3 linked regions of the Neurospora crassa OR74A genome follow. The protein of the gene in region 2 interacts with the protein of the main gene of each other region in a pairwise test. Links are inferred from orthologs where the notes say so. Each region holds a gene or a part of one and is shown on either strand. Other genes may lie near its edges. The genes, in order: eat-2, NCU06347 and csb.

Region 1 (2,848 bases), on a different chromosome or scaffold from region 2:
ATCAAGTCACGAGCACTGGAAGAGGCCCAAGCCAAGCTACGGGATGGAAGCTCGGATCTTGAAGCGCTACTTCGCGAGAAGGAGGAGGAGCTCGAGGTATACAAAGCTGGCATGGACCAGACACTGATCGAGCTCAATGAGCTCAGGAACAACCAGGGTGTCTCCGATTCAGCCCTTGACGGCCAGCTGGACGCTTTGATCCTCTCCCAGCTGGAGAAGGTCAACGAGATTATCGACTCTGTGCTTCAAGCTAGCGTTCAGCGTGTTGATGATGCCATGTATGAGCTCGATTCTGACATGCAAGCCGGAAACCAGAACGCCTCGCCTTCCTATGTCCTCTCGCAGATTGAGAAGGCGTCTGCGAGTGCCACGGAGTTCGCTACCGCTTTCAACGTCTTCATCGCCGATGGTCCCAGCAGCAGTCCGGCGGAGCTGATCAAGAACGCCAACGTTTTCGCCGGCGCCATCGCTGATGTGTGCAGTAACACCAAGGGTCTCGTTCGCCTCGCTACTGACGAGAAGAAGGGAGACTCTTTGATCAACGGTGCTCGTTCATCTGCCCATTCGACAGTCAAGTTCTTCCGTGGTCTGTTGAGCTTCCGCCTTGAGGGCATGGATCCACTTCAGAAGACCGACGTTGTCATCAACAGCAATAACGATGTCCAGATCAACCTGCAAAAGCTGAACAAGCTTGTCGAGACCTTCGCTCCTGGCTTTGGCCAGCTCGCTAACAAGGGTGACCTTGGCGACATCGTCGATCAAGAACTCAGCAGGGCAGCCGATGCCATTGCTGCTGCCGTTGCCCGTTTGCAGAAGCTCAAGAACAAACCTCGCGATGGATATACTACCTACGAACTCAAGGTCCACGACTCAATCCTCGATGCCGCCATGGCCATTACCACCGCTATCGCGCAGCTCATCAAGGCTGCCACCGCTACACAGCAGGAGATTGTGCAAGCTGGTCGTGGCTCGTCTTCGCGCACCGCCTTTTACAAGAAGAACAACAGATGGACCGAGGGTCTTATTTCCGCCGCCAAGGCTGTTGCCAACTCTACCAGCACTCTCATCGAGACTGCTGACGGTGTTCTTTCCAACCGCAACAGCCCTGAGCAGCTCATCGTTGCATCTAATAATGTTGCGGCCTCCACCGCCCAGCTCGTGGCTGCCAGCCGTGTGAAGGCCGGCTTCATGAGCAAGAACCAGGAGAGCCTGGAGGAGGCCAGCAAGGCTGTCGGTGCCGCCTGCCGTGCGCTCGTCAGACAAGTCCAGAGCATGATCAAGGACCGCAGTGCCGAGGATGAGCAAGTGGACTACAGCAAGCTTGGGTCGCACGAGTTCAAGGTGCGCGAGATGGAGCAACAGGTACGTGATTCCTTCGAGATTTCCTTCCTCTTTCATTTCCGGTACCCTTGGTCTTGCCTATTATGGTTCATTGCTGACCAATTCATTCTCTCCCCATCACAGGTCGAAATCCTTCAACTCGAAAACGCATTGAATGCTGCTCGCCACAGACTTGGCGAGATGCGCAAGATTTCGTACCAACAGGATGAGGACTGATTGTCCCGCAACACATGGGGTTGTTGAGGTAGTATACTCGGTGGCTTCATTCATCTCGCTGGCTTTACGCTTCAATGCGCAGCGTGGGCACATGCATCCGACCAGATCCCCTCCCTCATTCTGTTTTCGTCCCGCAGCGTCTTCCAAAATCTTCATCAGATGTTTTATATTTCAACTACCCCCTCTGTACCTAGCTCGAATTCCTTTGGGAGTCATCAGGTGTTAGTGTTAAACTCAGTTTCATCCACCTTGTTCTTTTTCATCCACTGAAGTCGTCAATTGGCCGTCGTAACTTCGGCCTCGGATATGTTCCGTTCGCTCTTCGCGCGGGTGTTTGGTAACACAGGCAAACCGCCACTCCCGCTGTCATACTGCTGGCATCCGTCGTGTTTCTTTTATGGCGATGTACATCCTTTTTTTGTGGTTTCGATTTTCGCGTTCGCTGCTCGCTGCTCGCTCGATCGGTCGGTCTGCCAGAAAGTTTACCAGATACGTCAAGAGTGAGTAGGCGACCAAATTTCGTGCTTTGTGCTGCTGAATATCACCCCTTTTCCGCCTCCTCTTCCCCTTCCCCTGTCACGTCAGTCCTTCAGCCCTCGGCTGTCCAATTTCCCTACGTCTGCTTATACGGCCCATTTCACTCCCTCTCTTCGCTTTTTTGTCGCAGCCCGTTCGTTGTCTCGTCATCGGTGGCTGCTTTCGTTCGTGCAGCAAGATTCAGAACGAGAAAATCTCTGGTGGAGGGAGTTCAAGTTCCGTTTCCTTCCTATCGCCTGGTCCATTATGCTGTTTTCTCTTTTTCTTTTCGTTCCCCACGTCAGCTTGAAAGTCTGGTCTCTGTCTCCCTCTTGACTTGCATTTCCTAGTTCTTCCCATTCTGGCAGGCCAAGCTAAAGTCGAACCATCACACTCTCCTGCTTCCCTCTCCGGTCGGTTGGCGTTCACGTTGTTATGCTATTAAAGTGCTCCTGCGGAGTCGTCGTTGTCGTACCAACCAATAGCTTGGATGACGGGTAATTGGATGTACCAGTGCCAAGTATTGGATCCGCTGGTGTTTGCTGCGGGCAGATGGTTGTGATGTCCATGAGCTGTACAATAAGAAGAGATGTATGGGAGAGCAGGGCAGCGTGGGGCTGCGTTGGGCAAGCAATTGCATTCTTCCATGGCGTTTATAGGTTGGGACCTGCAGCAAAATATTCAAGGGTATACTTTTTGGGGGGGGAGCCTCTTCAGGTCGTTTACGGGTCTTGGTCGAGATATAGTATAGCCTACAGCGTCCTTGGGTTTGGGA
Region 2 (4,817 bases):
CCCAACAACATTGACAAGGGTTCGAAGATGAACTGTGTGTGCCTTTCCTTGTCCTCCGACTTCTTCCCCAGCAGTCACCTACTCATCCTCGGCAAGCAACCTCAACTACCTTGACTAACAACCCTTTTCCCTTGCTCAACAGCCGCCGACATTGTCACCGAAACCGACCAAGCCGTAGAGCGTATGGTCTCCACCACTCTCCGCTCCAAATACCCCTCCTTCTCATTCGTCGGCGAAGAGACCTACGTCGCCGGGGAAACCAAAGTCACCTCCGCCCCGACCTTCATCGTCGACCCCATTGACGGCACCACCAACTTCGTCCACGGCTACCCGCACGGCTTCTGCATCTCGCTCGGCTTCGCCCTCGACCGCCGCCCCGCGGTGGGCGTTGTCTACAACCCCGCTCTCGATACGCTTTGGACGGCCACCAAGGGACAGGGCGCCTACTGTCAGCGCAACGCCTCTCTCGAACCAGGAAAGGGACAGGGGCCAAAGCAAAAGTTGCCGCTGAATGGGGGCCAGCCGCTAGGAGACCTTTCCACGGCCCTGGTGGCGGTCGAGTGGGGTAGTCAGCGCGAGGGAAAGAACTTTGATATCAAGACCAGGGTGTTTAGACAGTTGACGGCTGCCAAGGAGAATGGCGGGTGTATGGTGCACAGCTTGCGCAGCTTGGGCAGCGCGGCCTTGAACATCTGCGCAGTGGCGGCTGGTCAGGTCGATATGTACTGGGAGGGCGGGTGTTATGCGTGGGATGTGACGGCGGGGTGGTGTATTCTCGAGGAGGCGGGTGGAATTATGGTTAGTGCAAACCCGGGGGATTGGAACCCGGAGTTGGATTCAAGGTTGTATTTGGCCGTCAGGGGAGCGGAGAGCGGACAGAAGGAGATTGTGGAGGAGTTTTGGGGGGTTGTTGGGGATGACAGGATGGAATATAAGCACTAATGGTTGGTGAACATGACGCGGTTTTGGGTACGGGCTTAGGTTATCAGGCATTGGGTCAAGTAATAAGCAGGCATATTGGATTTGGAAAGATGTCGACTAGATGAGTTAAGGCTATCGTTAGAAGGGTTGGATTGGGGTGCGATATCCGGGAAAGGGTCGTTCGCCCGTCAGCAATGTGAGTGACAGCTGCATCACGGTCCTATGGCCGATCAAGAAGAAAACTGAAGGTGATTTCGTTCCTTGATGTGTGAAGATGTGGCAAGGTACGTTGCAGAAAGGTTGATAAAGAAGGAAAAAAAAGAATTCGCATTTGATCCGACCCAGGCTCGATCTGGGGACCTTCAGTGTGTTAGACTGACGTGATAACCAACTACACCATCGGACCGTTGATGTGAATAAAGGTTTTCTGCGACTTTATGACTCATAAAGTTAGACATGTTTGATGCCATGGCCTGGAGTATTGCTATTCCTTTCAATGCTGGAAGGAATCGGCACCAACTGGTAGCTGAGCTGGTTGCTGTGGTTTACCTAGTGAGCATGTGCGCTTTATCTGTAACCTCTATAACCTGGACCACGCTGGTCGCTCACTGGGAAGAAACACAAACAGTTTGAATCCTCGAGTGCGTGGTTTCGAGTTTATAGCATGGACGTGAAGACGACGAACATCACATCATGCAGTTGACACAAGTTCAACGAGATGCCATTGTTTGGATGAAAAAGGGGCTCAGGGGCAGAGAGAAAGTGGAGACCCATGTACCTCGAAGCTACGGCAAGGCACAACAGCCATGTGCGCACATCGGGCCATCCCCCCGGTCCCGGTCATACTGCGAGGCATCATCCACCGACAACAAGAGACGGAGCTTGGACGTTGCAGCTGCCCTGGGATCCGCCTGACAACTTCCCACTGTAATCACACCGCGCTACGGGGCTGTACACTGGCAACAACCGACCCAACCTGACTTCCTCGAGATAACCTCAAACCCAATCGAACTTCATTTCCATTATCTAACATTGACCCGAGTATCAATCTCCACTTATTTCCGTGACCGTCTCGCTTAATCGAATCGTCAATTGCTCTCATCATTTCCAAGTCGGTCAATCAATCAGCGCTCCCGTCGACGACCGCATTACCACCGGACAGGAACCGGAAGCCGTTGCCCCCGGACTTAGGTTGCCGCTGCGATTCACGGCCCTTCAGCTTGAGAGGTAGCTGCTAGCCAAATTTCCAACCCACTTACACGCATATAATTACTACGAAGCCAACCGCGACAATGCCGCCAAAAATCGAAGCGCAGGAAATCGAGACGTACTGGAACATCTTCTCGGCGCGAACAAATGGCGGCAAGTTCCTGACGGGCGAGCAGGCGGCGCCGGTGCTGAAGAACAGTGGCCTGCGCGATGACCAGCTGGAGCGTGTTTGGGATCTGGCCGATGTGGACAATGACGGAAACCTTGATTTCGAGGAATTTTGTGTTGCGATGAGGGTCATCTTTGACCTTTTGAACGGGGTTCGTCTACCTCCTTCTGTCCTGAAGCTGCGAGCGAGCGAGCGAGCAAGCAAGCAAGCATGGGAGCAGTAATAGCAGCAGTATCAGAGAACTAACAGGGGGAGACGGTAACAGGAATACGCTGATGTCCCGACAACTCTCCCAGACTGGCTTGTCCCCGAATCTAAAGCCCACCTTGTGCAAGCGAACCGCGCGCTAACCGGCAAGGCGCCGAAATTCGAGCAAGTCGAAGATGAAGACGATACCCCCGGCTTGAAGGATGGGTTTGACTGGTACATGAGCCCGGCGGATAAGTCCAAGTACGAGCAAATCTATCAAGAGAACCGAGATATGCGCGGCGAGGTTTCCTGTATGTTTACATCCCTTCCTTTCCCTTCCCTTCCGGTCCCTAACCTCATACTAATCTACCTACCTACCCGCAGTCGCCGCCCTCCAAGACCTCTACGACTCCCTCTCCGTTCCCGACACCGACATCCGCTCGGCCTGGAACCTGGTCAACCCGTCGGCCTCCTCGACCATCAACAAAGATGCCTGCCTCGCCTTCCTGCACATCCTCAACTACCGCCACGAAGGTTTCCGCATCCCGCGCACCGTTCCCGCTTCTCTGCGGGCCTCGTTCGAGCGCAACAAGATCACATACAACGTCAACGACCCGTCGCAGTCGCGCTGGGCCCAAAAGGCCGACGATGAGACCTCTACCGGCCGCAAGGCCAAGTTCGGCGATCAGTACCTGACGCGCCTAGGCCGTTCCTCGTTCAAGACGGCCGGCACCGACTTCTCGTCCGAGCAGACGGACGATCAGTGGGAGGAAGTCAGGCTGAAGAAGCAGCTGGCGGAGCTGGACGAGAAGATGGCCAAGGTTGAGGAGGCGGCGAACCGTCGTAGGGGCGGGAAAAGGGATACAAAGCCGGCACTGGTCAAGAGGGAGCTGGAACAGCTGTTGGATTATAAGCGCAAGGAATTGAGGGACTTGGAGGAGGGTAAGGGGAAGGCGGCGGCTGGTGGGAGCCTGAAGAGCGTGGCGGATGATTTGGCGACGGTTAAGGAGCAGGTGGAAGGGCTGGAGGCGCATTTGAGGAGCAGGCAGGACGTGTTGGAGCAGTTGAAGAGGGAGATTGAGGAGGAGAAGGTTGGGAGGTAAGCTGTTGAGGGTCGGTACAGGGAGATGGGTTGAAGAGGTAGAGAGAGCGGGCTGTGATATTTTGCTGGGTTCCTCGAGGCGAAGACCATGGGCAGTTTGCCAGGACAGGAATGATTTGGGTTCATCGGTTACGTTTCATCTTTCTAAGACAGCATAATCTCTTAATGGCATTCAGTGGAGTAACAACAAGCTGCCTGATGGCGCATATCTTGACTGTGTAATTTTCCCAGGTGCTATGGTATATTACAATGAAAGGTATCATGTTGACTGTGCTTTTCAGGGGAATTTAAGCATCACAATCCACGCGCCTTTGCACTCAGCGCTTGTCTAAGCAACAACATGGTGGCTCTGCTTGTTGCCGCTAGAGGCTGTCGGGAAATGTGAAAGGAGTAGAATAGTTTGACCGTATAGATATCTTTTCGATTTCATCAGCGTGAAGAGGCATCGGAAATCCTAGTTTATGCCATTTCCAGTCTTATTCCACTGGTACCTTGATATACATGTCCTGCCAAATATGCAGGCACAAGCAATATGTTGCTTCGGAGTTGCTGTGGTTGGAACATCTCAAAAGGTACGAATGAATTGCATCTTCACATGGGCCCATCTGGATCATGTAATTACTGGTTTGAGCAGCTGAGTCCACGATAAATAAGCGTAAAGTGAGGCTGTCAGGTTGAAAATGAGTTGAAGAGGGTGTTGTGGATGCTATCGTAGGATCGATGAGTACACTAGTGGGGCAATGACGCTCATGGTCACATGGAAAAGCTTCCAGGGGAAAAAGACCCCTCTCCACCATTCGCTGTTGGACATTCCACAGCGAGTGTTTACCTAACTCCGCACTTTGGAGCCTGGAAGGTACCTACCCCGCCAATCCGGTTCCAGAGTTGCAATTCATCCCATCCTTGGATCCTCAACAAGTCGTGCTGTAGTCTAGGTACAAGGTGAAGGTACTTCGCATACTTAAAAGAACTGCCCTGCCTCAACCCTCAACCTTTTGAATTCTCGTCTCCTTTGCCTCCACATTTCCATCTTCTTCAAGTTCCATATATACCCATCGTACGTACGCGACGCGCAACTTGTATCTGTAACCACGTTCGAGTCTTTAGCTAACCCACAGATACCTCTACCACAGTAAACCAACTCACCCACCCCCAACAATCAAAATGTCTGCCGCTTTCGAGAAGGCCGTTGCCGATTCCAAGAAGCTTACTTCCAAGCCTTCCAAC
Region 3 (5,026 bases), on a different chromosome or scaffold from region 2:
TGCACGTTCTCTGGCCTGGACATCGGTTGATGGGTTCCAGTCTGGGTCAAAGATGATGACCCGGTTAGCTCCCGTCAGGTTGGTGCCAAGTCCGCCCACTTTGGTGGTTAAAAGGAAGAGATGTAAGTCCGGGTCATTGTTGAACTGGTCGACAAGCGTCTGCCGATCTTTGACGGGCGTCTTGCCATCCATACGTAGGTAGTTGATGCCATCCTGGCGCCTCACAAATGCCTCGATGATGTCCAGCATTTGAGTACCCTGGCAGAACAGCAGCGTTTTATGGCCTAGACGTTTCCACATGGGAAGTAATGACTTCACCACTGCCATTTTCCCCGACTTGCTGGTACTGCCCCACTTGTAAGAGGGATCATCTTTGAGCCGCGGATCAAGCAAATCGGGATGATTACATATTTTACGCAAGATATCAATACCGTAGAGGGACTGGCGCGTCCTGTTGAGAATAGCAGTCATGTCATCCGACTTGAGGAATAGCTCGTACGCCTCGCGCTGGGGCTTGGACAGCTTACAAAATAGGACCTGTTCGCTTTTCTTGGGTAAATCGGCAGCCACGTCTACTTTGAGCCGCTGAAGTAGGTAGGGGCTGATGGTCTCTTTCAACGTCTCTGCACATTTCTGAGCAGTCATGATCTGAAGGTTGGTTGCGTTGGCATAACCGCCAAGTTTGATCGGGATCTCGAACTGATTTCGAAAGGCAACCAAGGTGCCGAGTCGCATGGGGTAGATGAAATCAAAGAGAGACCATAGCTCTGTCAAGTTGTTCTGCATTGGCGTGCCGGAAAGAATCACACGGTTGGGCGTCCGAAGTTCCTTGCAGTAAATGGTGATTGCTGTGTTTGGATTTCGGATTTTATGTCCTTCGTCCAGAACAGCATAGCCCCAGTCGACCGGGATCAATATATCGCCGTACGTTTGCAAACCGGCATAAGTTGTCACCAGCACATGGCCATGCTTAACAACGCGATCGACGATCTTCTTTGCAGCCTGGCTGGACTTTTTAGGCTTTCTCTTGCCGTAGTCATCCTCTCTGTCATCAAGCGCTCCTTCGTTGCGGACATTGAGCATGCCACTGCCAGACGAGTGAAGGATGGATACTCGAAGTGGTGGCCACCAGCGGTGAAACTCGTTTACCCATTGACGCAAAACTGTTGCCGGGGCTACAACAATGACGGGTTTGTCGAGCTTTTGACTGTAGTGTAACGCAGCCACGAAAGAAATCAGTTGCACTACATCCCGTCAGCAACGTTCCGTGGATTCCCAGGGGGGACATCGGAGAGAACATACCAGTCTTTCCTAAACCCATCTCATCTCCAACTATACCTCCAACTTGCTGCGCGTACAGCTCAGCTAGCCACTGTACGCTGGTCTTCTGATAGTCGAAGAGAGCTGGGTAAATGTCACCTGGCAATTTCAGCCCGTTTTCGAACTGGTGGTCAGGCTGGTCAGGCGCTGGCTTGAACCATTCCTCTGTTCCATCATCATCCTTATCAATTGGCTGGCCGAGCCTCTGCTGACGAGCCCGTCGTGCATTGCTCCTACGCGTTACCCAGCCTTTCAGTCTTGCTTGATAGACTTTTTCGTTGCCATCATCGATCCCAGTCAGATCGACCTTGTCATCACCATCGGCTTCTCTGACTGCTTTCTTCCGCTTCTTGAGTGTAGTGCCCGCCATTTCATAATCATCGTAATCGTCGGATGCGTCGGCCTCAGGAGAAGCCGCTTCAGATCCAGACTCTCCCAGCACAAACTCATCGTCGGATTCGGGCGGCGGCTGGACCCTACGCCTCTTTCGGGGACGTAGAGAAAAATCGTCTGCGACAGCTACGGTAGCGACCTCATTTTCGTCGGCAAAGCCAGGGAGACGAAGATTCTGATGGGATCGAGGGCCGTCGTTTTCCTTTTCTTCCAACTCTTCAGCGACAGCCTCGTCTTCTGCATCGACAATGGCGTTGGCGAGATCACCCTCAACCTCGGCAGGTCTGGGTCCACCAAATTTAGCAAACGGCGTGATCTTGCCCGTTCGGATGAGATATTCTCGTTGGGTCTCGTTAGGGAGTATTTTGCCGGTGGCCGGGGCCAGTGTACCCGTCTCGCCCTGCTGGTTGCGCTGTTCGATGCGGGCACGGAAATCGGCAATGTCTTTGTCGCAAAGTTCGATTTCGGCATCAATTCGCGCTATCTCCTGTTGTATGCGTAATCGTGCGGTTGGATTGGTGATACCAGGCCGCAGTTTCTGTTGCTGTGTTTTCTTCTGGTTCTCGAGTCTCGTACGAGTGGCCTCAGCCTTTTCGATGCGTTTCTGATCTCGTTTGTCTTCGGCTTCGATCAAGGCACGGCTGGCTTGCAGGGTGATATCACGTTCCAAATCGTCTTGGTCTCGAACATTTTCAGTAAGTTTCTTGAGCGCAGCCTCTTCGTCGAGCTCGTCAGCATTTGGCGCACTTTGTGTATCAGCGGCCGAGTTTTTGTTGTCGAGTGTCATTGCTTCTGTGTGTTCGACATTGGGCGTCAACTCGGGCAAGGCCTCGGTTGTCTTCGATAATTGAGTTGTATCAGGGTCCATGATGGAAGAAAGAATGCAATGCCATTGACTAAAGCAAGCAAAATGGAGGAAGGAATGGCAAACAGGTATAGATAGCACTTGTGATCGTCGACTGTCTAGTCTAAGATCTCAGCGTTGGCTGGAAATCCTGGCTGGTCCCAAGTGACAAAGAAGCGAGGGACGATGGACAGTGTGGTCAAATACTGCAATGGACGGGATGAATAGGGTAGATGAGCTCTTTCTGGTGGAAGTAGTACAACTTCAGGCGGAATTCAACGAGTGGCATTAGAGAAGCGACGGATTGTAGCGGAGTCTTCCGAACTGGAGGCAAACGGAATGATGGATTGTTGCGATGAAAAGTCAGAAGCCGCAGTTTACGGATCGAAGCTGCAGTGCTGTTGCCTGTTTTCTGCTTTTTGCGCCCGCTTTTGCTCACTGCGGGTGATAGGCATTACTTGCGCAAGTGGCAGGCGCAACAATATTCAACCCTGGCCCCCGATGACGCACTGCAAGTTCAGGGTTCGCGGAAGCGTTGGAGATCCTCTGCTTTTGGCGACGTACTTGTACCGACACGTCGTCATGTGACCTGGGCAAAGTGATTACTAAGCATCCCGATATCGCGACTGCGCGCATTGCATCGATGTTCGACCAAGTCAACAACACATATCGCGGACTCAGGGGCTCGTAGTGCTTGCTCTGTTTCCACTCAGGCTCACGGTATGTAGGTTACAAAGGCGTAGCATATACTTTGTCATTTATCGCGAGCATCTCCTCCGCTTCGATTTCTCTTTTCCGGTTCCCTTATGCTATCACATGAGTTTAGCTGAATCCTTTTCATCATCTCTTCCTTCGGCTCACAACTTTGGTTCCATTTCTTCTCTACCACCACGAGAATCCCTAAAAGACCCATCTTCCTGGCTCTAATCAGGTGCTTTTAGCTGGTATGGCTCGATTCGTCACAAACATGTCGACGACAACACGCCTACTCGCACAATCAGTCCCTAAAAACGGTGTGACACTACCACCATGGCTTCACAACATCACTCAAAGTATTTCAGCTGCGCCCAAGCTCTATGCCTGGACTCCCCAAAACCTACCAAATAGCCGAAACAATGGACAATTCCAGTCGGCAACGCCAAAGGACCTTCAAAGGCGCATCTTTATTCTTGGCATTGGTAATCTCGGTAGGCTCTATGCCAACTCCCTGGGAAAACTGGGTGAAGAAGTCCCGGTGACACTCGTCCTTCACCGGAAAAGTTTGTTAGAGCACTGGGTTTCCGAGCCGGGTATTGAGCTGACACGACACGGCGTTACCGAAAAAATATTATCTTTCGACGTAGAGTGGTGGACAGAGGAAGCACCAGCACATGGGCCTGTGAGGGAGGTCTGTGACGGGCACAAGATCGCTAACCTTTTGGTCGCCACCAAGGCTCCAGACGCTCTGCCTCAGGTAGACAGACTGCGGCGCTATCTCGATGGGAACTCAACTGTCGGGTTTGTTCAGAATGGCATGAACAAGTTGTGGCCGCCTTTCGGCGCCATATATAGTGAGCATCGCTTCCCGCCTAGACAACACCCGAACTGGCTGGTCTGTGTGACGACCCACGGCGTGTTTTCTCTGGGTACCTTCAAGAGTGTTCATGCCGCTCCCGCTGATATCGCCATGGGCTTGGTGTTGCCCAACCCAAACACGGCACACGCAGCAGACTACCTTATGGAACAAATTGGGAGGGCGCCCGAGCTGGAGGCTCGTAAAGTGCCACGGAATGCACTCTGGGTTCTTCAACTGGAAAAGCTCATCATCAACTCACTTATCAACCCCTTGACAGCTGTCATCCGTTGCATGAACGGTCATCTTTTTGACCAGCCAGCACCTGAGCTGAAGAAGCTCATGGACATTTTGGTAGATGAGGCTAGTCAAATACTCCAGGCTTTGGCTCAACACCCGAGTAGCAAAGATATTCTCTCTGGTGCTGACTCGGCCCCGGATGCCGACTTGAGCAAGGAAGCTCTCGTAGAGCGTTTCTCGGCTGTGCGGCTTAACGCAATGCTGCAACGAGTTGGAGAAAAGGTGAAAAACAACAGGAGCTCCATGTGTCAGGATGTTATGGCTGGGAAACAAACCGAAGTTCGAGAGTTCAACGGCTGGTTGGTACAGATGGCGGAATATCTTGGCTTGGAAGCGCCCAACCATAAAAAACTCTGCGAGCTTGTGGAAGGCGGTGTTATCGGGGAAACAAGCCTCCTGGAGGCTTACTTTGGCAAGAAGTAGATGCCTTATATCAAGGAGAAGGTCGTCCTGTGCCGAATGTACCATGATGTCGATGAAGTGCCAAGCAACGACATCTGGCCTTTGTTGTCGAGTACAAACCACAATCGCCCATTGGAAGGCTCTCGGTAGCCACAGGGACGGTGCGCCGACTTGAGGCACTGACAGATGCCAGCGTTCTCAGGAACCGAAACACC

Evidence for each region.
Region 1: the proteins of NCU06347 (region 2) and eat-2 interact in a protein complementation assay, tested with the Saccharomyces cerevisiae proteins (2 studies listed by BioGRID, with this or other methods). The link is inferred for Neurospora crassa OR74A from reciprocal best matches to the Saccharomyces cerevisiae genes END3 and SLA2.
Region 3: the proteins of NCU06347 (region 2) and csb interact in a two-hybrid assay, tested with the Saccharomyces cerevisiae proteins (2 studies listed by BioGRID). The link is inferred for Neurospora crassa OR74A from reciprocal best matches to the Saccharomyces cerevisiae genes END3 and RAD26.

The regions. Positions count from the first base shown.
Region 1 is NC_026501.1:1,867,806-1,870,653, reverse strand, and holds the end of eat-2 (cytoskeleton assembly control protein Sla2), read left to right. Parts: coding exon 1-1,362; intron 1,363-1,464; coding exon 1,465-1,557; 3' UTR 1,558-2,102; downstream 2,103-2,848. UniProt on the Saccharomyces cerevisiae protein: Required for cellular morphogenesis and polarization of the cortical cytoskeleton. It might act in concert with proteins such as CDC42 and CDC43 to limit the region of cortical patch formation to the cortex of the bud.
Region 2 is NC_026504.1:2,822,962-2,827,778, forward strand, and holds NCU06347 (actin cytoskeleton-regulatory complex protein end-3), read left to right. Parts: upstream 1-1,802; 5' UTR 1,803-2,213; coding exon 2,214-2,450; intron 2,451-2,564; coding exon 2,565-2,799; intron 2,800-2,872; coding exon 2,873-3,591; 3' UTR 3,592-3,804; downstream 3,805-4,817. Other genes in the region: NCU06348 (myo-inositol-1-monophosphatase), read left to right, coding at 1-34, 143-942; NCU06346 (hypothetical protein), read left to right, coding at 4,755-4,817. UniProt on the Saccharomyces cerevisiae protein: Component of the PAN1 actin cytoskeleton-regulatory complex required for the internalization of endosomes during actin-coupled endocytosis. The complex links the site of endocytosis to the cell membrane-associated actin cytoskeleton.
Region 3 is NC_026503.1:1,029,491-1,034,516, reverse strand, and holds the start of csb (DNA repair protein Rhp26/Rad26), read right to left. Parts: upstream 3,059-5,026; 5' UTR 2,582-3,058; coding exon 1,303-2,581; intron 1,245-1,302; coding exon 1-1,244. Other genes in the region: pan-3 (pantotheic acid-3 protein), read left to right, coding at 3,504-4,832. UniProt on the Saccharomyces cerevisiae protein: May be involved in the preferential repair of active genes.